Caenorhabditis elegans: one gene and its partner. The protein of the gene in region 1 interacts with the protein of each later gene in a biochemical or structural test. Each region holds a gene or a part of one and is shown in the gene's direction. Other genes may lie near its edges.

Evidence for each region.
Region 2: of the proteins of mbk-2 (region 1) and meg-1, one has a biochemical effect on the other in vitro, tested with the Caenorhabditis elegans proteins (one study listed by BioGRID).

The regions. Positions count from the first base shown.
Region 1 is NC_003282.8:13,004,526-13,017,299, forward strand, and holds the start of mbk-2 (Dual specificity tyrosine-phosphorylation-regulated kinase mbk-2), read left to right. Parts: upstream 1-4,632; coding exon 4,633-4,704; intron 4,705-4,934; coding exon 4,935-4,990; intron 4,991-5,111; exon of another isoform or gene 5,112-5,132; intron 5,133-10,088; coding exon 10,089-10,299; intron 10,300-10,373; coding exon 10,374-10,590; intron 10,591-12,774. UniProt on the Caenorhabditis elegans protein: Required for oocyte-to-zygote transition in which it phosphorylates oocyte proteins, including mei-1, oma-1, oma-2, mex-5, and mex-6, modifying their activity and/or stability following meiosis.
Region 2 is NC_003284.9:13,922,488-13,934,936, reverse strand, and holds meg-1 (Protein meg-1), read left to right. Parts: upstream 1-5,302; 5' UTR 5,303-5,323; coding exon 5,324-5,462; intron 5,463-5,512; coding exon 5,513-6,595; intron 6,596-6,638; coding exon 6,639-6,879; intron 6,880-6,924; coding exon 6,925-7,203; intron 7,204-7,253; coding exon 7,254-7,394; intron 7,395-7,440; coding exon 7,441-7,468; 3' UTR 7,469-7,901; downstream 7,902-12,449. Other genes in the region: Transcription factor elt-3, read right to left, coding at 1-54; Protein meg-2, read left to right, coding at 8,829-8,967, 9,021-9,323, 9,605-11,224, 11,268-11,499, 11,656-11,796, 11,841-11,865. UniProt on the Caenorhabditis elegans protein: P granule component, which acts redundantly with P granule component meg-2 to promote P granule segregation during embryogenesis, and germ cell proliferation and differentiation in larval stages.

The DNA.
Region 1 (12,774 bases):
ACATTGTTTTCTAGAGACCAACCATCTTAATGGACCTTTTTTGTTTCCTAATTTTTCTTGCCAATTTAATTCTAATAAAATCAACTATTATTTTGTTTTTGTTGTTTGAAAAGTACAGTGATTTCGGCTCTATATTCTGAAATAGAATTTCCGTTTGAAAATTGCAAGAGAACTAGGTCGCAATTCGATCTAGATGAAATCTGAAAATTCATAAATTGCAAAAAGAAAGAAGCCCCCGTCAAACCTTCTTGACCATTTGTATGAAACCTGACTTTCCTAGTACACATTTGGTAATTCTAGGTCTTTTTTTTTACCCCCAACCCGTTATTGTTTTACCCTTTCCTCTATACACTCAGCTTCTTCTCGCCTTTCTTACGACCTCCTCTATCCCAACAATTACGACATCAACAAATGTTGTTCGAATGGAAAAAAAGGAGAAGCTTCATATTTCAACCCATCAAAGCTTTCTTTCGGCTTTTCAAATGCATTCACGCATGTTGCCTCGTTATGCCCTCCTCCTCCCAACCACCACCACTTCTTATCTTCCGGAATCTAAAATCTGTCTTTCCCTTTTTTGGTGGAAAATGCTCAAGAACACTTCAGTTCCGATTTGTTGCTTCTTTTGAAATTCTTTTTTTTTTGTAGAATTTCTGAACTTTTGAATTCACTGGAGTCTAGAAGCAGTCTGGGAAATCCACTGAGCAAAGTTAGAGAATTTTTTGCTTCAGCTAGATTCTGTGGGCATTTTTGTAGCGGTAGGCAGTAGGCAGTAGGCAGTAGGCAGTAGGCAGTAGGCAGTAGGCAGTGCAGTAGGCAGTGTTGATAGAAAAAATTATACTTTTTATAGGTAAATTTTTTGTTATGCTGAATTTTCACTGATTCTTGTTAAAAACTTGGAAACTTTATCAGACATTTTTTGAGGACTATTACAATTCCATTAGGCTTCTCCCATTCTCCTCTGCATTTTCTCAATTCTTTACCGATTAACTCATGCTCGGTCGACTCCGCCCCTCTTTCTCTATTCATAAATTCTTTTTGCCACTCGACCTTCAGTTTTTTTTGTTGTTGGATGATTCGCTTCTCATCCTCCACTTTTCTTCCGTATTCCACCCGTCAATTCCTTATTGTTTAGTTTAATATCTCTTGACAATCACTTTTTTTTGCTTTCAGAATATGTCGAGGATCGAACACTGGAACAACTTCATTCATTGTAACATTCTCCTTTTTTGACTAATTCCTTAAAGGGAAGCCGCGCCAAACATACTGATGGCGGCTGCTCTTTTCCTAATCATTTCCCCTTCCACAATATTTGCTCAGTTCATCCGAAAATTGGCATTTTGGACGAAAATTTGAGATTACGGTATTGGTTCTAAACATAATGATATTTATGTTTAAAATGTTTGATATTGAAATTCAGATACTATAAAAATTTAGGAAAATGTTTAGGCGTGCATACCTGCCTACGCATCTGCCTTGGTATACATCCAGTTTACATTTTCTATGTAAACAAAAAATTTCTCGTGCACTTTTACAGTTTTCGCGCATGTATGCAGGAGGTAGGCATAGGTTGCCTTAAAGGCTTAGTAGGCAGACAGTCGTTTTCACCTGAAAGAGTCAGGTGAAAAGATCTCAGTCTAGATCTCACCACAATTTTGAATTCTCCCATTTGTACTCCCTAGGTTTTGAATATGTTATAGTATGGGAAAAGTGACTCACTCATATGAAATTTTCGCATAACTTTTGGAACTTTCTTTCTGGAAATGCAAATATAGTTTTTAAACTCTGAAATAATGTGGACGTTTCAAAATGTGGAAGTTTTCTTTCGAAACTTATCAAAAGTCAAAAAATTTTTGAATTATGTTTGGAAACTCTTACTTAACTTACTAACATATAGCTGTAACGTTTTTTATAATCTCAAAATAATGATATTTTAAGATCTAAAATCTGACATTTGAAAAAAAAATCTAAACAAATAGCATTTTGTAAGCTATGCAATTTAGAAATTTTTTGAGCGATCAACTAAGCTCCCGGGCTTCAAAATTGTCGGTGAAGAGTGAAATAATTTTAAAACTTTCAATTCCAATTTCTATTACCTACATGTTTCTGTCTTCACTAAGACACCCATTCCGGTGTTCTCTTACCATGCTAATAAATAAATCACGCACCGTCCGAATGGCCCTTCCCGTCCGTAAATGCCGTGCCATTGGTTCCGCCCGTCTTTACCTAGATATTCCATCAGATACAAACACTCTCATTCATTCGATTATAATCGTCGATACCAGTCATTTTTGTACCCCCTTTTCTCTTGTCTCTTCCCCTCACTCACCCTGCTCAAACACGCCCAATTTACTATGACCCCGAATGCACTTTTTTCTTCTTCTTCTTGTTCTATACCATTCTTTCACTCTGAGGGAATACGCCTTCGCCCCGCCGAACCACCCTTCATCACATATCCCTATGAATCTTTCACACTTTTCTCTTCTTTCTCGCTCATCCATTTGCTTTTTTTCTTTGAATTTCTAATTACCAGGCTGCTGTTTTTTCTTTGGTTTTTGGTTTTACACGTGATAGAATTTAAGGTTTTCAGGCGTTCTTGTCTAGTGATTTATAGGCCGTAGGCTCGATACAGTCAAATATGCCTACCTGCCTCGAGTTAATTTCATTTTTCTAATAGGAAACACATTTTAAAGGTTATTTAAGTGAAACATAAAATAAACTTACGCAGTCATCCATGTGTTAATAAAAAATACGGCCTACATTCCTGCCTTGTTGTACGCTGGGGGTAGGTACGAGTCATTCGTTGGCAGGCAAATATGCCTACTTACCTCGGACCAACTCAATTTTGAAAATTGGAGAAAAAATTTTAAACACTTACGTGAAAGGTTAAACCGGTTTAGGCAGGGTAAAACCGGTTTAGGCTTTGTTAGGCTTGTGTTAAGGCTTGGGTTTAGGCTTGTGTTTAGGATTGGATTCAGGCTTGGGTTTAGTTTTTTTGTGCTTGCCTACCACATATTTAGTTAATTTTAGCAGAAGCTCTGGTTTTCATTTAGGCTTGCTTTTGCCAAGCAAATATGCCAATTTTCCTCGAGTCTACATACTATGCTAATTGGAAAATTTTTCAAAAAGTAACTTTGCGTGAAACCCAAAATAAACTTACACGGTCATCCACGTGGTATGAAATAAAAATAAATTGCCTTTGTTCAATTATTTTATTACTTTCAATTCTTCTCACTTTTTGCACATTTCGTTAACCGTCTCACAATCAGGAATCCAATGCCAGATAAGTTATTTGTACACAATTAAGCTTCAATAAGAGAGAATTCTCAGGTTTAATCTTAGGCTAGGGTTTAGGTTGCTATAGGATTTTAGATTTGCTATGGGCTTAAGCTTTTGTTTATGATTGGTGTTAGGCTAAGGTTCAAGATAGGGTTGGATTTAGGCTTGAGGCTTGGGGTTAGGCTTGGGTTTAAGTTTGGGTTTAGGCTTGGGTTTAAGCTTGGGTTTAGGCTTGGGTTTAGGCTTGGGTTTAGGCTTGGGTTTAGGCTTGGGTTTAGGTTCAGGTTTAGGCTCAGGTTTAGGCTCAGGTTTAGCCTCAGGTTTAGGCTTGGGCTTAACTTTGAGTTTAGACTTGGGTTTAAGTTTGAGTTTAGGCTTGGGTTTGGGCTTGGGTTTAGGCTTGGGTTTAGGCTTGAGCTTATCCATTCTTGGTCCCTATCCTCTATGCCTTCCCTAACTTCTATTTTTTAAATTTCAGCCTGTTTATTTCTAGACTCCCCTTTTTAATATTTCCTGCCGCTGATCATATGATATCCATATTTTTGCATTTTATATCAGACATCAAAAACTATTAGCATTAAGTTTTCATAAGGCATGCTTTGAAAACATTTGGAATGCGCAAAGATTATGGGAAGAAAGTTTTGGAAAAGTTCAGAAATTTCCCTTACAAGGGGAAGTTGAAAAAAAACCATTTTGGTCGGTGCCAGCTGATGCTCCTCTCGTGACTCTTGATAAGCCAATTGTTAGTCGTAAAAATGGGGAGAAGAACTTTAAAAGTGCGTAAATATCTAGTTATCTCGTTTTCTTATCACTGTTGTCATTGTGCATCTAACGTATTTCGGTTCACTAATAATAAGTTTCACGCTATTTTGTTTTTATATTATATTGTATTTTCAAAGCAAGTTCACTAAAAAGTTTTGCTCCATGCGTTCCAAGCATCCACTGCCTGCCTATCAATTTATCATCGTTCTCCACCCCGTTAGGTGTACCATTCAAAAAACGTTTGTTGCTCCGTACTCTATGTCTCCAATTCCCATATGCTCTTCCACAAACCCGCAACACAACACAAGTTTCTGCAAAAAAAAAATTTGGTGGATTCCTCCTAGAGAGTAAAAGAGAAACAGGGGGAGAAAAACGGACTCTTCCAACATCATTTGCCCCTTTTTCTTATCTGCTCCAACTTGTCCCCACGTTCGGTGAGGTGTTTCTCCCATTGATAACAAAATGTATTTGATCCGATTACCCTCTACTCGTCGTCAACTCTCTTATTACCCCCTACCACAAATTGTATTAAAAAGTACAAAAAATTTTTAGGAATTCTCTCCCAAACTTGCAGCAGTCTAGAGTAGTTGAAGCATGGCTGCTCTTGCCTCGTTCACACGTAACAGTCGAAGTTACGGGCAACAACCGATTGATGTTACACAACAGGTGGGTGTGCTATACCTCTATTAGTAGTGCATGTAATTATAGTTTCAAATTGAAATGGAGTTTGAAAATTTTTAAATTTCTCCTCTGAAAAAGTAAAGATATTGACTTTTTTCTGAACTTTTGTGTGATTTCTTAAATGTTCATTTTTGATATTACTAGTTATTATAGTTCTACTAGGATTATAAAATTCTAAACAAATTGCTCCTAAAATTCAAAAAAAATCATTTCAGGGTCAGCGAGATCGCAGTGTAATGAGTCTGGATGCACAAGGAAGATCAGTTTCACAGTGAGCTTTTGATTCTTTTTCTCTTCAAATTTTTTCTTCAATTTTCCCACTAAACGTATGTAGTTTAAAATATTGCAATTTCGAATTACTTTGAAGTTCTTAAGGAAATTTCTAGAAATATTCAAAAGTCGTGCCTGCAGCAGACGGTCATTTATTTTCCTTGAAAGCCCCCCCCCATTGACCACCATATGGATCCCATTAAACTTTACACCCTGTGGGGTCCTTGAGAAAACTTTTTGATGTTTTTTGTCCATTTATGCTTAACCTGATTAGTTGAAAAGCTGGTGTAAAGGGCCTAATTAGTTGGAAATTGGAACATGTTTTGAAAATCACAATGTATTATTGTAATAGAAATCTAAAGGCGGAACAAGGAAAAAAATCAATGAAAATTGAGATCGAGAACCCTTCTCATTCAATGAAGAGGTGTTTTCTTTTCAATAAAAAGGAGGAGTGGGGGGAGTATTTGTCATCAAGAGTACCCAAGAATGGTATACCAGCGATTTCACAATTAGATTCACAGTCAATCATTTCTTTTTTGATTCAGACCTGTTTGATTTTGCAATTTTAATCAGGATTCAATACATTTTTGTTAAAAATTTTGTTTTTCTCCCACTTTAATAGTTTCAAAACATTCATTTTCTGAAAACAGCTGTTTTAGAATACCTTGAAGCTTACATACTCTAAAACAAAACAGTTAGACCTAAGCTAACGTAGTTTATTGGCATTGGCGTTTGAGTAAGGCGGCCCCGTTGTCTAGTCACAATAGAAAGGGAGTAATGTAAATTGTTAAATTGTTGGTAGGTATATCCTTATGCCTGCCTGCCTGCCTACTGTTTGCTGATTTCCTTTATTTTAAGTTGAACTCTGGCCTTTAGTGTTCACCTCATGTAAGTTTACGCATATTTTATAGTAGACGTAGAGGTCGGTATTTTTTTGGTTAAAAAAAATTTTAAAAAAATCAAATCACTTCCTCAGCCACTTGCAATTTTAAGCGACTTTTCAGTAGAAACTTATGCTTCAATTGAACAATTTTTCAAATCCTATCTCTCGTCGATTTCTCACAATTTTGAATGTAACAACATTTTAAACGAGACACACAAAGTGTAAAAATGCTCAAAGAGTCAATCAGTGTTCCCTTGGCCTTTTTCTCCCTTTACCCTCTCTTCGAAGAAAAATGATAGGAAAATATCCGGGAAGGGAGAATTTAGTTGCACGTCATGATGTTCTCATCAGAAGTTTTTTCCTCCACTTTTTGAAAATGGAACTTTAATGACTCCTTTTGTGCTTGCCCCCTTAACCCTATCCAATTTCAAGACGTTTTCTGATTGTTCTTCGAAGTACGATTTCAATGTGTGTGAGAAGAGGAAAAATGAGATAGATTGTACTTGAAAGTAGACAATTTACAGAAAACGAACATTTTATGGTTTCTTGAAAACAGGTTGATTTTAGAGATTTTTAAGTGTCAAGAGATTTGTTCACTTGAACGAAATAATTATGGAACTTTTTGATCTTGTTAGATTTAGTTAAAAGAAAAATTCGCAAGCCTAAGAGCAAATGTGCAAAAATTTTATTTTGTTCGTTGTGATACAAATGTTGCAGAAAACTATTTTTCCTGAATTTCCATACATCAAGAAATTGACCAAGAAAGGGTTTTTCTACAAATTTTCAGTTTTAATTTTTTTAAACATTGTGAAGGTTCTGTTTGAAAAATTCAAAGTTTGCAAAAAATTTTGCCAATTCGCCAAACCTTGTGCTGAAGTTTTCAGAAAACTACGATATTTTTTTCCAAAAAAAAGCGTTCCTCACAAAAGTACCGTATCAAATGTTGGTCATCAAAAATCCGCACCGAATCTTTCCGATCTTTGTCTCTCTGTATCACTTGTGTTAGTCTTCAGTCCCGCTTTCCCCACCCTCCCCCAGATAAGGTTCTCGCGTTCCCCTATCTATCCCCACACACACACATTTTTATTTTAATTACAAGTACTAATTCGGTAGTGTTTTCTGTTTTCTTTACCTGTATGGTGGAGACTAGGAGGACCTTGCGGTCGGGAAAATGAGGCATCGTAATCAAACCAACCGAGGCAACACACACGCCGGGCCATGATGGAAACAACTCGTAAAAAACCCGTCTTTTCTATTCTTCATCGTTCTTCGCCTCTCTCACAGGGATTCCCTTTTTCATTAGTCGTTAGGAGAGGCTTTCCATACCTTTTATGATTGTATACAGTGATCTACAGATTCTTGAGATGTATGTACAATTTTTTTTTGTTTTTGATCTACCTGGTCAACTCGCAACGATCCTCCGCTAGCTGGCTTTGTGTGTTGTTTAGCACTTTCTGTAGTTTTAGAAATTACTTCCTATTGTGAATGACCAAATTTCCAGTTTTTCAGTAAAAATAAATACTTGTCCTATTTATTGCCAAAATGGTTGGAGCTGTAAAAACATACAGTTTTTGCAATTTTTTTTTTGGCTTTTCTCCGAGATGTCACAGTTTGCAATTTTTAAACTACGGTTTTATAATAGTTGTAAATCAAAAAGTTTACTGTAATTTTTTTTAATTCTCAGTTTTAATTATTAGTTTTTGACTTACTAACAAATTTCGGAGAAATTTTTTTTGATCCGAAACGATCTAACTTTTTCAAATTAAAATTTTTAATATTTGCAAAAATTAGTTCTACAAAACAACTACAAACCTGCTTGATTCTGAAATTTCAGCCAAGTTTAGCACTTTTGATCAAATTGCATAAGCTTATAAGTCCTCCTCCTCCTCCTTCTCGAGAGCCCCAAAACTCTTACAAAGCTGTGAGATTTGTACTTAATACTACACAATAATCGCCTGTAAATGTAGTTTCCAACACAAATTCTATCTCCTCTTTTATCGCTCCCTGCCTTCATTCATTCCTTCATTTTCTTCTGGAAAGAGGCGGCTCTTCCTCGCGCGCGCAAAAGCAGGGCTCATTCCTCTTTGCAAATATGAAGAATTCGCTGACTGATTCGAATATTTCTAAGAAAAATTTCAAAAAACTTCCAAGTCTTCCTGATGTTTCGAGGTGAGGTTTTGCATATAGTAAAAGTCGTTGAATTTTATTTAAAAATAGTTAAAAAGTTAAAAAGTTAGTAAGTTTAGTTAAAAATTTAAGTATCTGGAAAACTGGCAGGCTTTCAAATATAATTCCCATAGAGATTGTGAATATTTTTTTGAATTTGTGAACGAAAAGTTTACAGTGGGAATTCCGCCCAGCCAAGGCGTCACGGAGACGCTTCTCATTCGCCTCTTCGCCCTCCCCTCACATTTCCGACGGCATTATGAGCAATTTGTCACATTTGTTGTATTGAATTCAGCGTTGCACAAAATTACAATTCTTTCTAATTTTTAAACCGGAATTTTTAGGCCCCTCGTTTCGTTAAGCCTTGATATTTTTTTGCCATTCGAATCACTTGACAGGCAGGTGCTCGAATTAAGGAACGGCGCCAAACCACATATTTCTAATCAGAACATCTGTAGTCTGAACGATTATATTACACTTGGTCAGGGAAAGATTTTTGATAATTTTTTTGTTTCACTGCAAAATAAGTTAACATACGAGGGCGGGGCGACATGTCTCGGGGTCTGAAAACGCCTCCATATACCCGGAAATGCCTCCCCTCGTCTTATGTCCTTCGTTCAAAACTGCCGGTAGGACCCGATGCTCCCCAATCTTCGGGATTTCTACTTTGTAAAAAATATTTTTCGAACTTCTACCATTATCCCTCCTTCTCACTCTTTAAAGATCGGACACCTCGATACCCCCTCCCCGTGTAGTTTATTACCATTGAAAAGTTTTAATTGACACCAGTTGTACCTCTACCATCACGCCTTTTCTTTCACCGTCTATGTCTCTGTCTCTCTCAATTTCCATTCAAACGTTGGTCGATCTCCTGCCTGTGTTTCCATGCGAAAGTGAAAACGACGCCGCCAGAAGGCATCGTACCTATTAATAAAATGGGCAAAATGTTGATGATGGCAATTGATTTATAAAGAGAGAGAGAATTGGCCACCACACTGAGGAATAGATTAGCCGAAACGTTCACTCTCTTCTCCGATTTTCACGGTGCTTCTCGTTCTTTTCGCATGACTAATAAGGTGTGGAAGGAGGCTGGAAAGAAAGTGAGAATGAATGAGAAATGAATTAGGTGTTCATTTGTTCAGTTAATTTATTCAATGATGATTAATCCAAGTTTTAAATTTTTAATTCAGTGACCTCAATTTTTATTTGTGTTCAAAATTACCCGAAAATAGTCGTTTTCCCGTAGCCACATATTTTCTATCTGAGCCCGTGAGGTGTCGGGTGCTGTAGCAACGGTCAAGTAGTAGCGCCCGACACTTTCCGTGTTCCGCAGTTTTGGCAGCCTCCACACATTGTTCTGATCCCGTGAGGTGTCGGCTGCATTGCATTTTGTAGCTAAATTTTCGACAGTAGGAAGACACGTCTTCAGATTCATGTGCATGGCTTTTTTTTGGCGCTTATCACGTGTACCTTTATTTTGCTAATAATTTTCAAAGATCATCCATCATTTGTAATTATTCTCCATCACCTGATGTTGTACTTCAACCCTTTCACCTCTTTACACCATCAAGATCTAATTTTTAATCGACTTTTTAGATCTAAATTCATTGATTTTTAGATAAAAACACTTTTTTCCCTTACCGACTGATTATCTCTATGTCCTCTCGTTAATCGCTGCCCCTTCTACTTAACTGTACGTATTACAAAATTGTGTTTTTTTTTTCTTCTTTTTCTGAGTTGTTTTTTGATGTTTTTACAGATTTTGAGATTAGCTGTGGGGCTAGTCTTTTGGTACGCATTTTTACATTGTAGTGGGATACATTTTTCATTCATCCCATTTATTGTTTTTCAGTCTAGTCGGGGGGAAAATTGTACACTTTCACTATTTGGCATAAATCGAACTTACAAGCCAATTTAGCAAACTTTTATGATGGTTTAATTGGGAAAATTAAGGGTTTAGCAACCTCGATTTAATTTTAAATTTTAAAATGTGAAATTCTTCCACCCCAATCAAATAATTCTACCTAATCACATGTCCCATTTTTTTCAGTGAGTGTCCCACATCAACAACTCTTGTTCGGCAACTCTATCTGCCGCAGATTCCACAATCGGCGTCGTTTGCCGCCGCGCCAACCTCCTTCTCGGGAGCATCATCGTCCAGCTCCAACCATCATCATCCGGTATACCATTCGCAAAACTCGTTGCCACCAAATCTGCTCGGAAGCTCACAGAACTCGGCAAGCAGCAACAGTCTTGTACAGGTAAGGAATGCTGGATGTTGGATACACAAGATACTAGGCTGTGCGGCGGTTAAAATTTAAGGAATTTTTTCCAGGGACACCGTAACCCGGCTCTCGGCTCCGGAAACACGCTCACTCGAAGCTACCATCAACCGTCGTCCACGAATTCGTCGACCAACAATCTCTATGGACCACTAGGTACAATTTCTCGTGATTTGAAGCAATCAATTCGAGATATTTCTCCTCCAGTTATCAACTCGTCTGCAAATCCGCATCTCGTCAACTACGTGCAGACGTCATCGTTTGACAACGGTTAGTTTTTTTTTTTCAAATATTTTTATCATCATTCATATTTACGTCAATTTGTATAATATATTTCATTTTGTAGTTCCCCACATTTGTCTTAAAATAGGAAAAGTAGGCGTTCTGACTGAGAATGTAGTGCTTCGAAATTCGAAATTCCAAACTCTGTTGCTCGGTTTTTGGCCACTTGCGCAATCGAGGGAAATTCCAATTTTCCTCGTCAGTTTTCTTATTCTTTTCACAGGAAAGCCGGGCACTTTTTCCTTTCGTTTTATGCGTACTAGTACTATGTGTATGTATCCAAAAGCACTTTCTCCGAACACACACATGAAGAGAAAGCTGATGCATGAAAGTGTCTCTCTCTCCTTTATTCTTTATGTTTATGTGCGGTAATCGATGCATTTGATTCGCGAATTTCTATTACGAACAGCAGCTTTAGGTCTATTAATAAACAATGTTGAGAGCGAATCTAGTTTGGATAGAAAACTATTTCGAAATTTCTCCGGAAATTCGATTTTTTCGCTTTGGCTTTGCTTTTTCACAAACGTTTTGTGGTCAGATATGTTTTCTCTAGGTATTCCATGGTAGGCAAGCTCTGGAGGCAAGAAAATTTACTTGGAAGCTCTACTATTAGACATAATTTCATCAGGCAGATTGCCCGAAAAACGCCCTGTTTTGCCTCGAACGATAATATTTTTTTTGCCAATTTTTTTCTGCCCGTTCGCTTGTCCTTTTCTAATGTCTCTCTGGAGACCGATTTCTCAACTTGTTTCATTTTCTCTCTACTGCTTCTTCTTCTTCTACTCTTCAATCTCGTCGTCATTTAAAATGGCCCTATATACTTTGTCGTCTTTTTCTTCTTCTCCTTCTCTATTTCTCTGCATCTCTCTCAATTTTCTACTCCTCAACCAGCTGTCTAATGAACGAAGAAGCTGAAGAATAAGAAGAAGAAGAAGAAGCAAGGGCGCGTATTACATTGTTCATTGCATAGAGAAAGCTAGAGCTCAATTTGAGACTGCTGCCTCTTTCAATCTTTCGTGTGGTCACTTATTTCAAATAAAGCCAATTTTTGCTAAGCTTCTGTTAAGCTTTTCTGAGATTTCTTGGAAAAATGCAAATCTCTTTATTTTTAGTATGATCAGTGAGGTTTTCCTCGCCTTTTTTCTTGTTTTCCTATTTCCTTTCACTCCACCGTTAACAATTCTTTAGTGCATTGGAAAAATGCACTTTTTTTGGCAAAACTTGGACTATTTCTATGAATTTTTTTGACAAGCCAAGCCAGTGCTCTCAGATTCTTTGCCTCTCCCCACATCAAAAATTCCAAGAATTTATGAAATTTCTGGAATATTCCTTTACTAGACTTGTTATTGAGGAGCTTCATAATTTTCTTATTTTCTTATGGGAATTGGAATTTTTGTTTTGAAATGGTTATCAGCTTGTCTGGGCCCTTATTTCAAGAAGGTTTGGGCATAGGCATAGGCTTAGGTTTATGCTTATGCTTAGGCTGTCTTAGGCTTAGGCCTAAATTGATGATTCTTATCATCACCTTCATCAAGAATTTTTCCACCATTTGTTTGTTCGTCATCGCAAATGTGTTCTTCTTTTCGATAATATTTTCTTTAAAGTTAATGACCCATATTTTTTATTAAAATTTGGAACGTGTTGACTTTGTAGTTCGACCTTCCATCTTTTTCTTGGAGTTTTATCTCTTTTCTGTCTTTGCGAAGACGTCATGCTCCTTGAAAATATATTCCTTTGCCTAATTTCTTCCCAGTCGGCTCTTCTTCTTCTTCAGATCCTCCATCTAGATATCACTTTCCTCCTCTTCTCTATCTCGCCTTCTGCTCCTTTTCATTCCCTGTTCTCCGCCAATTACCCCCTTTTCGAGGCTCCTCGTCGGCGCGCGACTGCTCAAGTTTTGTTCTTCCGAATGCAAATCTGATTTGGTTTTTGCGTCCTCACTCTTTTCACAGCTTCACGCCCTTTTTCTTTCCTTTTTCGTTTCATATTCTTTATTCTCACGCTCATCATCACCCAATCATGGAGGACACAAGCCTCTTTCATTTTTGCCCTTGGCTTTTTCAATAGAGAAAGACCAATAACGCCAGTTTTTTGTCTGTCAATGGCCTCTTCCTTCTCCTCCTGCTACTGGGCACGGCGGCTTCGAAAGAACACTATAGTAGTGGTAGTAGC
Region 2 (12,449 bases), on another chromosome or scaffold:
GCTGGAAGTGGAAGAATACGGTGGTGAAGGTAAGTAATAGTTGGCAGTTTCCATTTGAATTCTGTAACTGAAAATTTGAAAATTTGAATATAAAGTTTGTTGAAAAATTGAAACAACATGCAAAATCAGAAAAAGCAAATTGTCAGTGATAAGGCTTCCAACAAAAAAAAATAAAGTAGAAACAACTGCTGGTTTCACTTTTTTTATTATTATCGGTTTATTCATTAATCGATACGTGGAAAATCAAAACATTTACTACTATGATTATTTGACAAAAACAAAATTTCAGTTTGTTTTGGTTTCATTCGCCATGCTCAACAGAACACTCCATCAAAAAGAATACAGTTATAATCAAAGAGCAAACATAAAATGCTTATGATGAAAACACAAATGGCTCAAGTTTTTTTTTGCTTAAAAAAGTAACATAAACCGAAATCAGACAGACCCTAAACATATAATAAACGAAACAAAAAATTTATCAGGAATACCCTCTCTGAAAGCGATAAAAAGTAATAGAGCAACTTACACTGCAAAAAGTGGTGTTGGTGATAACATTTTACTGTCTTCCTGGTCTGTAATAATAAGCGAAAACGACGATGGATTTTCTGCTAGGAAAATCTTGATCCGAGAAAAAAGTGTGTGTATTTGTGAGTTTGTGCTTCGTTTTTGCTTTCAATTATTGTGGATGGAAGATGGAAGACAATTTATTTCTTTTTTGAGTGCAAGTCTAGAAACTGAAGTCGCGAACTATATATAAAACTATATGTTCTAGCAGGATTACATTAAAATTTTAATTTTAAAATTTTATTTCTCAGATTTTGTCTCTACATATGAAATATTATGGAATAATAAAAACATTTTTAAAATCCTATTTCAAAGGTTAGAATTCATAAAATACCTCACTATCAGAAAATATTACATTTATTTTTTTAAAAATATTTTTTCCCACACTTTTAATTTTTTCTAGGAAATATCATTCATTTTCCAAATTATTTGATCGTTAGAAATACATGCCTATATGAAATAATTCTCATTACTTCAGTTAGAATTCGGAACGTTTTTCGCTTAAAAATGCAGCACTAACTTGTAAGTTCTGTTATTTTTCTTTACATTTTTTTGAATTCAATTGTGTTTTTGTGTTTTTTTTTTGCAGTAACTGCTTGAAGTTTGAGAAAAATATTAGGTTTAACTTAATCAAAACCAAATAAAGAATTTTCTAAACCTTAAAATTTTGTGTTTTGATACAATTAGCCCAAACATTTTAACATCAAGTATTTCCGTTTAATTAAATATTTTTGAACCGACATTTGATCTTATGAACACTGTTCTCCGTAGTTGTTCTCTGCTTCAGCGCCCGAAAAAAAAGAAAAGATGTCAGTTGGTTTAATCAAATGTGGCAGTTGCTAATCACTTGGTAGCCACAATGACTCGAACCTTATCTTTTTTTTTTCAACTGAATTTATCAAAATATCAAATCTACTAGTATAAGCTGTTCGAAAATGATTAACCGACATTGTTATATGCATTTTAAAACTTAAAATATTGTTAATTCTAAAATCAAAATTTTAAAACTAATTTAAAAAAAAAACTTACTGGTGGTTTTAAAATTAGTAACTCAACTTAATCGAATTTTAAGGAAAAGGGTTCACCAATCAAAATCATATAAAGAGAAGTGAATTTTGAATAATTTATTTCAATAGATGAGTTCAAATAATACCGGATGAACAAAAAAAATGTCTGGGCGGTAACCGAGGAAATGGGAATTTGATGAAATAAAAGTGTGAATCTGGCTGTTTGATTATTCGGATAAATATTCGATTCTATGGTAAGTTTGGGATAGCGAATTTAAATATATCTTCGAGCATTCATTGAGGATATTTTGAGAAATATAAATTAAAAAAAAACTATTTATGTTTCAAATTAGTTTCTGGAAACTTTATTGGAGCATTTAACGGTTCTGAAATTTATTTTAGTTTTTTAAAACATGATACCGGTTTTTCCAAAATTTATCGAAGCAGTAAGCAATTTTCAAATTGAAAAAAAAAACCGAAATTCTTTATAGAGTACAGTGGCTCTGAAAGAATCGTTAATAAAAATTATTTGTTCAAAAATTATGTATAGCAAAAACTGAATAATTGCCTTTTTGACAGTTAATAAACTCACTTCAAAAAACTTTCAATATGTTTTACTACATAAATGATATTTGGCAATTTCTGCACATTTTCCTTTTTTTTTAAACTAAATTTCATTCAAAAAATTTCCACAAAACAACAGTGTTTCATTGAAAAATGCTTTAAAACTATTTTAAAATTATAAAAGCGTTAGTATGTACAAAAACAACACGTATTTGTTTTTGAATCAGTTAGTTGAGTAGCTCTCATTTTAGACGCCTAGGGGTTTCCGTTGAGCTTTTGCAAACTTTTATCTATTTCAACCCACTATTGTAACCCTAATTTTCGTTTTAATTCTTATCCACGAAAGGTAGTAGTATGTTCAAGTCATCTTCTGATTTCACAATCGCAGAGTACTCTATTTTTAAACCAAATTCAAAAAGATTGATGTATCACTATTTATATTAATCATCAATGGTTAAAAATTTTGATTACTAGTCATCTGATAATTAATTGACAACATGACCTAAAAAGACAAAAATAAATATGATTTAATGACTCAATAAGTTGATCAGTTTGGATTTTGACCAATTGAACTATGGAGCTAACGTGCAGTCGAATAATTTCAGTTTTAACCACAATATGCTAATTTGGGACAGCAATATCCCCAAACTGCATAAAATCTGAAATAAAACTTAGAAAAAGATTTTATGAAATCCCTTGGCTAAAATAATACTGGATCACAAGAAAATTGGGAATTAGAGATTGGTGATGATCTTATTGAGTGCAGGTTTAAAACTTCATTTCAATTGATTCCACAGTTGGATGTACTTTGGCGGTTTCTTGTCCGTAGCCCCAGAGAAGTTTCCACATTTCGGAGCGGCTCTGAAACAACCAACATACTATTTTTCTTATTTATTTTTTCAATTCTCTCTTACCTCTTTGAATGGGATGATTCTACTTGCCGGCACACAAAAAGAGAAGCAGGCAGTGGTCAACGGGAAAACAACGAACTCAAAATCGGCAACTAGGCTTATGTCGAGATAGTGGTCTAGTTCTAGAAGGGCCTATAATCATACTTTCTGACACGGAATATGGTGCATGTTGACCTACCATGTTGACAACAAAGACACCGACGCCACAAACAAACCAAGGTGTTTCTGAAAAGATGAGACTGTCAGTTATTAAAATTTGCAAAATCAGATTGAAGAACAGGGTGCAGATGATGATAGGAGGAATCACGGAGATCGGCTGAAAAGTTTTACTCAAGAGAATACATATAAATCGTGTTAATGTATCTCACAGTTTTACTGGTGACAAAGTAGAATTGGTCCCAAACAAGCTCGAACTCCACTGGTGAAAAAAGTAGTGGAGATGCAGACGCAACTGAAAATACAACCATTATCTGCAGGATTCGGTAGTCGGAAACTACCTGTAATTGGTTAAAATATGGTGTTTTTTTTTGATGACACGTCAATCAAGTTTTGACCAACAGCACTACTCACAGGAACACGATCGTATTTAGCTTTCAATCGCATGAAGATCATGAACGATATGACGATGATTTGAAGAGTTGAAATCGCATGGAAAAGGAAGTTGGAGACGCGGAGGAGAATGTTAAGAGCTGATGAGTGGAAGTTTGGAGCAAACACAACTTCCTCAAACCATTCAAAATTGCCACAGATGATACCAAATTTTGAAAGAACTACCGAATTGATTGTGATGATCAGGGTCTAAACTATGTTTATTACTGTTTGAGGAATCAGACGAAATTGACTTACATTGATGAGAAAAAAGTATCTCACGAGATGTGGAACATAGAAGATTCCGTTACACTTGATTGCAACCATAAGGTACAATAAGGTAGCGATGAACCCAAAAGTATCCATGAATGAGATTAATATACCGAAGCATATAGCCAACATCATTTTGGGCAATGGAATGAGGAAATCAGCGCTACCATAGATGTGAAGCTCGGCAGTGCCCCGCTTTTTTCAGTTCCCTTGGGATAGTATGAGTTGCTAGGAGCAACTGAAAAATGAAGCACGGGTGATAATCACGGAGAGAAACAAATACTATGACAGGAGAATTCTGTCATTAAGAGTACATCAATTATTGTTGAGAAGAGTGCTGATGCTAGAAAAGTATAAACAAAATTAAATAAAAAAGAATCACATTTCTGAATAACTTTGAAAACTTGCAATTCATGATTTAGTAGCGAAAAATGATTGATCTTAGATATACATTTGAACAAAGCATAAATAAAATCATAAGAATTCATATACTCCCGAAATTTATGATTGGGATTTTTTTCAGAATCAAGACGACGTTCTAGGGATAATGTGTAGCTTGGTTACATTCAACCAATCTTCTGAAAAAGCCAGAAATTTTAATTTATGTACATGACTATTTTGAATACTGATACGTTTGCTTCATACCATCGATTTTGAAACAAATGTTTTTAAATATATTGTTACCAAACTCTGATCTTTTTTGTGTGATAAACGTGAATTTGTAGTGAAATAACTTTTAAAAAATTATGTGTTATATAAAAAGTTAAAGGCGGGTAGCTATAACGAACATGTATTGAAATTATAAAAACTTACAAAAATTATCAAAAATGAGGATTGTTTTTAGACTGCAGTGGCCCAACCAAATTTATTCGGCATTGATAAGTTTTCTGACTTTTAGACAAAAATCATTAAAAGGTTTTTTTTTAGTTTTAATCAAAATATAAAAATAATTGTTTGCTTTTTTATTCTTTATCTTTATCAGTCTTTCGTGCAAAGGTGCTTCCCGATTTATCTATTAATTTACGAGAATGGACAAAAATTTTTATAGTACTTTTTTTCTCATTTATTGTCCAAATTCAAAGTTTTATTTGCGTATTTCTAGCGTGATTCTTAAAGAGCAAAATAGTAGATCCACACAAAATTTGTTTTGACCTACACCTGCCCGCTCTTTTTTGTATTGTTTTGTCTGCGCGCCGCCACGTTTCGTCATGCTGCGCGTCTCTTCCCTCTCTTCTCTCATTTCATATCATTTCATTCAGTCTTCGTACCATTACTGGTGGACAGTGGTCCGCTCTCTTTTTCATCTGCAGTTATTGCGAAATCTTTTATTTTCTGTTGAATTTTTTTTTTGTTTTTAGCCAAATTCTTGTAATTTTTCCACAATAATTCCATTTTTAGAGATTGATTTCTTGAGCGGCGATGGATAATCGTGGTCATTTTTCTTCAAATGGGAATTTCCCACCGCAAGGATATCACCGACGTGAGCAGTCCCAAGAAGGAATGAGAATCGGGAATCATCACGGACCGTTTTCTTCGGGCAACATGCGTAGTATTGGAGGTAAAAAAAAATTAAAATTCAATAGATTTATTAAACTGGTTTTTTTTCAGGCTCAGCTCAAAACCAGCAGCAACGTCATTGGACAAACATGCTCAATGGCTCAAATAATGTTGAGAATTCTTGGGTGTGCTTCTCTGGAAACACGTCTCTTGCCGATGATCCAAATGTTCTCTCCAATTTCTCTGCGTTGGCACAACAAAGAGTTAACCATTTTGATACAATTGTGCAGGAAAGGGACAATAGGAATGCGAGTTTCCTGAATGGTTCAGCAGTTGGAAATAACCTGAACACTTCGTTTAGCGTTTTTGGCAACTTGCGAGGAGGAGACCAAGATCATCGAGTTCTTTCCGATCACACTGGAATTTACACTGGTTTGGGATCCACTGGACAAAACGCTGTTGGAACCGGGATAAGACTGGCCGCTGATGTCGCGAACGGCAATTTCTTGGAGCAGAGAGCACCTACTGCCATGGGACACAACCAAAGCTATTCTGCACTGAACCAGTCATTAGCACCAACACTCCTTGACCAATACAATCAGGCACTCCTCGACCAATACAATCAGTCTTCACAAATGGCTCAAGGACGAGGATATCCGGCTCCAAATATAGCTTACGGTCTTCAAAATGCCGGTTTTCCAGCTCCACAAATAGCTCATCGGCCGAATACTCAAAATGCAGATCCTCAAGCGATGAATATGAATAACCGTTTAAGAGATCATACCTTCCAGATGCCACATACAAACGCTCAAGTTCCAATGAGTTCTCTGCCAGGTCTATTTAATTTATCCATGAATCACGGCTCCGGGAATCAACAGTTCCAAATGAATCAAAGCTCATCAGGCCCTGCACCTCAGTTGCCTAATCTGTCGGAAAGCTTCCAGATGGCGCAAGGGAGCTCTCAAGTTACAATGAGTTCCAGACCAGCTCACTCCAACACTTCTATGAATCACAGCTCGAGGAACCAATACAACCACGTGGATCAACGCCCATCACGCCCTGCACCCCATTTGCCAACTCTGACAAAGGAAGAGGAAGCTTTCTTGGAGACTCCAGATTTTGAACAATTTGGAAGACAATTGTACAACTACTTGCTTCCGGGAATCCTTCCAAATGGTGCTGCAGACACTTTCAGTAAGTGGAATTTGTGTGTTTATGTGATTTAAAATCATTTTAGGTGACGCTCCCAAGCATCAGTTGCTGAAGCTGGCAAAAACACTGAAGCCGATGCTCTACGACTACTGGCGGAAGACGATGCAAATGCAGAATCGTGGAGCCAACATCAACATTATTCAGTGGATTATTGATTTCAACGCCAAGTTTGCTGCTCTCAACAGTTCAGTTGCCAAAGCCTCAAACTCATCGGATGTTCTCAATCAAACTCTTCCAACTGCGGCTGAGGTTTCGGATGTTGCCAGGTGCATACTCTGCCTGTTGTTTGTTTTCTATCCTACTTTTTTCAGAGAGGATGCTTCGACTTCACAGCCATCCAAAAGCCGATCCATGTACATTCGTCCCGCTGCCAGTCTTGATAATACCTTGGAGACACTTGATGAGAATTTGGATTCTTCACAAAGTCATGCCGGGCCAGTTCCAGCAGCTTCAACTAAGCCCAAAACACCATCCTTTGAGAAGATGATTAGATACAGTGGCATCAAAAAGCGAAGCACAATGGACATGGATAATTTTGTTCGTATGCTTGATGAAAAGATCAACTTTTCGCCTGAGCCAAGCACTTCAAGGTATGTTAACCATAATAAACGAATTCCGATGTACTATTATTTCTTTTCAGTGATATTGCCAGCTCTGTGAAAGGCTACATGTCTCAATCCTTCCTCCACCAACAAGATGACGAAGCTCCTGATTGCACCAAGAATGTTCATTCTGAAAGTGATTTGAAACAAGCTGAGCCACAAGAATCGGACAAGCAAAGGTGAGACTTGTGAACTTATATAAATAACAAGCAATTTTTTTTTCAGTGACAAGGAATTGCCAAGCAATGAATGAGACGTTGGACAATTGGTTCGCCTACAAGAACACACTTACTGTGCTGCCATTTTGTACCATAACAATTCTATTTTTACCATACTAACCAATTTCACAATTACAAATTATATTTTCCTGTGATTTTCATCAACCATCAACCCATCTTGTGCTGTATTTGTATCTCATAGTAGAAACCTCCCAGCAACTAATTTTGACTTTTGGCTCGCCTGCCAACATCAATCTTATTACCCAATTTTGTACCATAACACTCTCTATTTCTACCACACTAACCAATTTCACGATTAGAAATTCTTTTTCCTGTGATTTTCTTCAACCATCTTGTATTGTACTTGTATCTCATAGTGCTCAGTTTCAGTCTTACCGGTTTTCCAGTCACTGTCCAGTACAATTTCACCGACTATTGTTGTTTATTTCGATAAAAATATTTTGTTCTAAATGTTTGAAATTTGTTGTAAAAACTGGAAATTACTAATCCAAACATATATCTTTCAAAAACAAATACCCATTGAATTATTTTGGTTTATTTTAAAAGTCATACCGTTTTTCACATGATGAAGATATTGAGAAAACGAGTTCAGGTTTAATGGTAGGACAAACTTGTAAAGTTCAATTATGATGTGGCTTGATTCGGTGCATTTTTATATTTTTCAAGTGATCAACCTAAGACCTCATTTGATCAACGAATGCTCGTATTTAACTAGGTTAAGTAGATAAAAACGTGTGGATCACTTTTTTAGTTAAAAGTTTCTTGCTGAAACGTATAGCTTTTGGAGCATACTTATTGGAAAAGTCTAAATAGTCGCCGAAAAATTGAAAGCGAGTATTGGCCAGCACTGTTTTAAATAGTTCAACAGCAGAAAATTGCACACCAATAAGACTTCAGAGAATTTTATTTTGAGAAACTCTGAACTATGCAATTTTTTCTTGAAATCCCTACAACTCTAATTTCTGCATACTTTAAACTCTCAAACGCCAGAATTTCATAAGGTTTCTGAGAAATTTCAAACGATCACATTCGCCCTTTCACAGCTAACTTAGGTTTTCAAATTCAAAGAAAAAAATCATGCATAAATAAGAACCGTTCCATTTTTATCTGTTCCAGTTTACAATGGTAAAATCAATAATTCGCGTGTGCACTGTTTTCATCATATCCATCGTCACAGTTCCGTCACGCACTTGCTGCGTCTCTTCCCTCTCACTTTTCCTTCCGAGGCACTCCATTCAGTCTTCGTTCCATTACACGTGGACAGTGGTCCGCTCTCTGTTTCATCTGCAGTTGTTGCGAAATCTCTTTTTTTTCTTTTTTCTTAACATTTTTCTACAATTTTTCAATTTTTAGGTTTCCATTTGTTGCGCGGCAATGGAAAATTGTGATGATCTTTCATCGGATGAGAATCTCCCACCACCCGGAGATCACCGTCGCGAACAGTCCCAAGAAAGAGCGAGAGTCGGGAATCGTGATGAATCAGTTTCTTCGACCAACATGCGTAGTATTGGAGGTAAAAAAAAATAAATTTAGATTCACTATATTTATTAAACCGGTTTGTTACAGGTGCAGTTCACAACCAGCAGCAACTTTATTGGACAGACATGTACAATGGCTCAAATAATTTGGAGAATTTTTGGCTGTGCTTCTCTGGAAACACGTCTCTTGCCGATGATCCAACCGTTCAATCCGATTCATCCGCGTCCACACAAAGTAGAACTAACCAAAGTGGTACAATTGCACAGGAAACGGACAACAGGAATGCAAGCAATTTTCCGCCACGATCAACAACTCGGCGTGGACAGACATATGAATCGAGAGACGAGTCTCAAGGAGGACAGGCGCCCTCACATCAGAACCAGGTTCCAGGTGAGCCTCAAATCTAAACTTTGATTAGAAAATTATCTACGTTCACAGTGCATTACTTCAACAGTCGGGAGAATCATATATTCATGTTGTATGAAATTTTCTCTCTTTATTTCTTACTGAAGTACCGGGTAATAATTGAATGAAAATAAGTTATCAAAACATAACAAATTGATAAGGTTCCAATTTCTATTTATTTTTTATATGAAACATTTATCGGAAACATAAGTACAACTTCATTTATTCTTTGGCACTTCATATATTAATAAGCTAAATTGTTTCAGGTGTTGATCGCGATGAGTATGCAGGTGACCGGAGTAACGTTTCCATCAATCTACCATCCGTAGATCAGTGGCGCGAATACAGTTTTTCTGATAATTCGTTTCAAGGCGAAAGCCGGACTGTCCAACGGAGATCATCCCGGGCCACACATCGCGTCAAAAATCAATTTGGCAGCATTGGAGATGGGAGAACGAGCAATAATACGAGCCTCCAAGAGCCAGTGATTCAGGATACAAGAAATCGAAATCGCTCTGAATCTTCTTCCACCATGTCATCGCAATCACGAACAGAACATGCTCCAATTTTCCGGTTGCAATATAATTACCAAAGAGAGGCAGACAATAGATCTTCACGATTGGTTCAAATACAAGGACATTCGGCTCCAAATAATGCAAACGGTCTACAAAATACGGGCGGTCAAGCTCCAGACATTGGTCCTGAGGTCAATGGTCAGAGTTCCGATACTCGAGCAATGAACATGGGTAATCAGATGGCTCAAGGCGATTCCCACGTTCCAATGAATTTCGTACCAAGACCTTTGTCTAACGGTGTTCCCAGGCTTCACGGAGTTCCCAGGCTTGTAGACATGTACGATTATGAACTTGCTCAGAGGGCTCATGCACGAAGATATCCGACTTCAAATATGCCATACGGTTTTCCAAATGCCGGCTTTCAAGCTCCTCCACACATGGGTTTGTGGCCAAATAATCAAAATGCAGATACTCGAGCAATGAACATGGATAACCGTTCGAGAGATCGTACCTTCCAGATGCCTCCTGCAAACGCTCAAGTTCCAACGAGTTCTCTGTCAGGTCTATTCAATTCATCTATAAATCACGGCTCCGGGAATCAACAGTTCCAAATGGGACAGAGCTCATCAGGTTCTGCACCTCAATTGCCTGCTCTTCCGGAAAATTTCCTGATGGCTCATGCAAACTCTCAAATTCCAACGAGTTCTCTGTCAGGTCTTTTCAATGCAATGAATCACGGCTCCGGGAATCGAATGAACCACAGCTCATCAGGCCCTGCACCTCAGTTGCCCAATCTGCCGGAAAGCTTCCTGATGGCTCATGGAATTGGTCAAGTTGAAACAAGGTCCCCAGCAGGTCCCTCCAATTCCTCCATAAATCACGGCTCCGGGAATCAACAGTTCCCAGTTCAACAAAGCTCATCACGCCCTGCACCTCAGTTGCCCAATCTGCCGGAAAGCTTCTTGATGGCTCATGGACTCTCTCAAATTCAAACAAGTTCCACAGCAGGTCCCTCCAACTCATCTATGAATCACGGCTCCGGGAATCAACAGTTCCGAATGGGACAGAGCTCATCACGCCCTGCACCTCAGTTGCCCAGTCTGCAGGAAAGCTTCTTGATGGCTCATGGAATTGCTCAAGTTGAAACAAGTTCCACAGCAGGTCCCTCCAACTCATCTATGAATCACGGCTCCGGGAATCAACAGTTCCCAGTTCAACAAAGCTCATCACGTCCTGCACCTCATTTGCCTGATCTGATAAGGCAAGAGGAAGAATTTTTGAACACTCTGGAGTTTGAGCAATTTGCAAGGCGATTGTACAACGACCTACTTCCTGGAGTTGATCCAAATTATGATTCAGGCACATCAACCAGTAGGTGGAAAAATGTGTATTCTTTGATTTCAAATAATTTTAGGTGAGACTCCAGTGCTAAAGTTCTCAATAACACTAAAGGCGATGCTTTACGACTACTGGCGGACGATGGTGCAAATGCAGTATCGCGGAGCGAACATCAACTTCCTCCAATCCATTATTAACTTGAATGCCAGGTCTGCTGCTCTCAACAGCTCAAACGCCAGAGCCTCAGGCTCGGCGGATGTGCAGAATCAAACAGTGTCAGCGACGGTCGAAGGAGCAGATGATGCCAGGTACACACAGGAATCCAGTCCGATGCCTCGGCATTTTTTGGCACTCGCTGCATTAAAAAAAAGTTTGGTTATAATACACGCGTACCAATTAATTCTTTATCTGAGCCGAGCACATCAAAGTATTCCAATAAAAAAAGTACCAATTATAATTTTCAGTGCCAATGTCAACGCATTGAGCGACTTGCTGGCCCAATCTTTCCCACGCCAAGCAGAAGGAGAAGCTTCTCGTCGCAACGATATAGATCATCCCGAAGATGATCTGAACCAGGCTGATTCACCGAAATCAGACAATCAGAGGTAAGCGGGAAAAATAGTTAAATATCACATCTTTATAATTTCAGTGACAAGGATCCTCCCAGCAACTAATTTTGACTATTGGCTCAACTACAAACATCAATCTTACGACCCAATTTTGTACCATATCATTTCTTTCCAATTTTACCATTTCTAGTTGTTTTTCTGTGATTTTTTTCAACAAGCAGCCCAACTTGTATCGTACTTGTATCTCATAACAGGAACTTCTCAGCAGTTAATTTTGATCAATGGCTCGCCTACCAATAACAGCCTTATTACCCACTTTTTTACCATACCATTTCTTCTTACCATACTAACCAATTTTACGACTTCTAGTTTTTTCCTGTGATTTTTTTTTCAACAAGCAGCCCATCTTGTATTGTACTTGTATCTCATAGTGCTCAGTCTCAATTTTTTTCGGGTTCCTAGCCACTGTCAAGTATAACCTCACCGGTCGTTTTTATTGTTGTTTATTTTAATGCATACAATTATTTTTATTTATTTATTTATATTTATTCATCAGGCAACAATCACAATGACACAATTACGACAAAGCAGTGAAGTGAAGGAAAAAGGAATGAATAACTAGATATAAAATAATCATTTGGACCCGCAAGAGTCCGGTGACTAAGTATGAGGGGGGGAAGAGGGTAAAA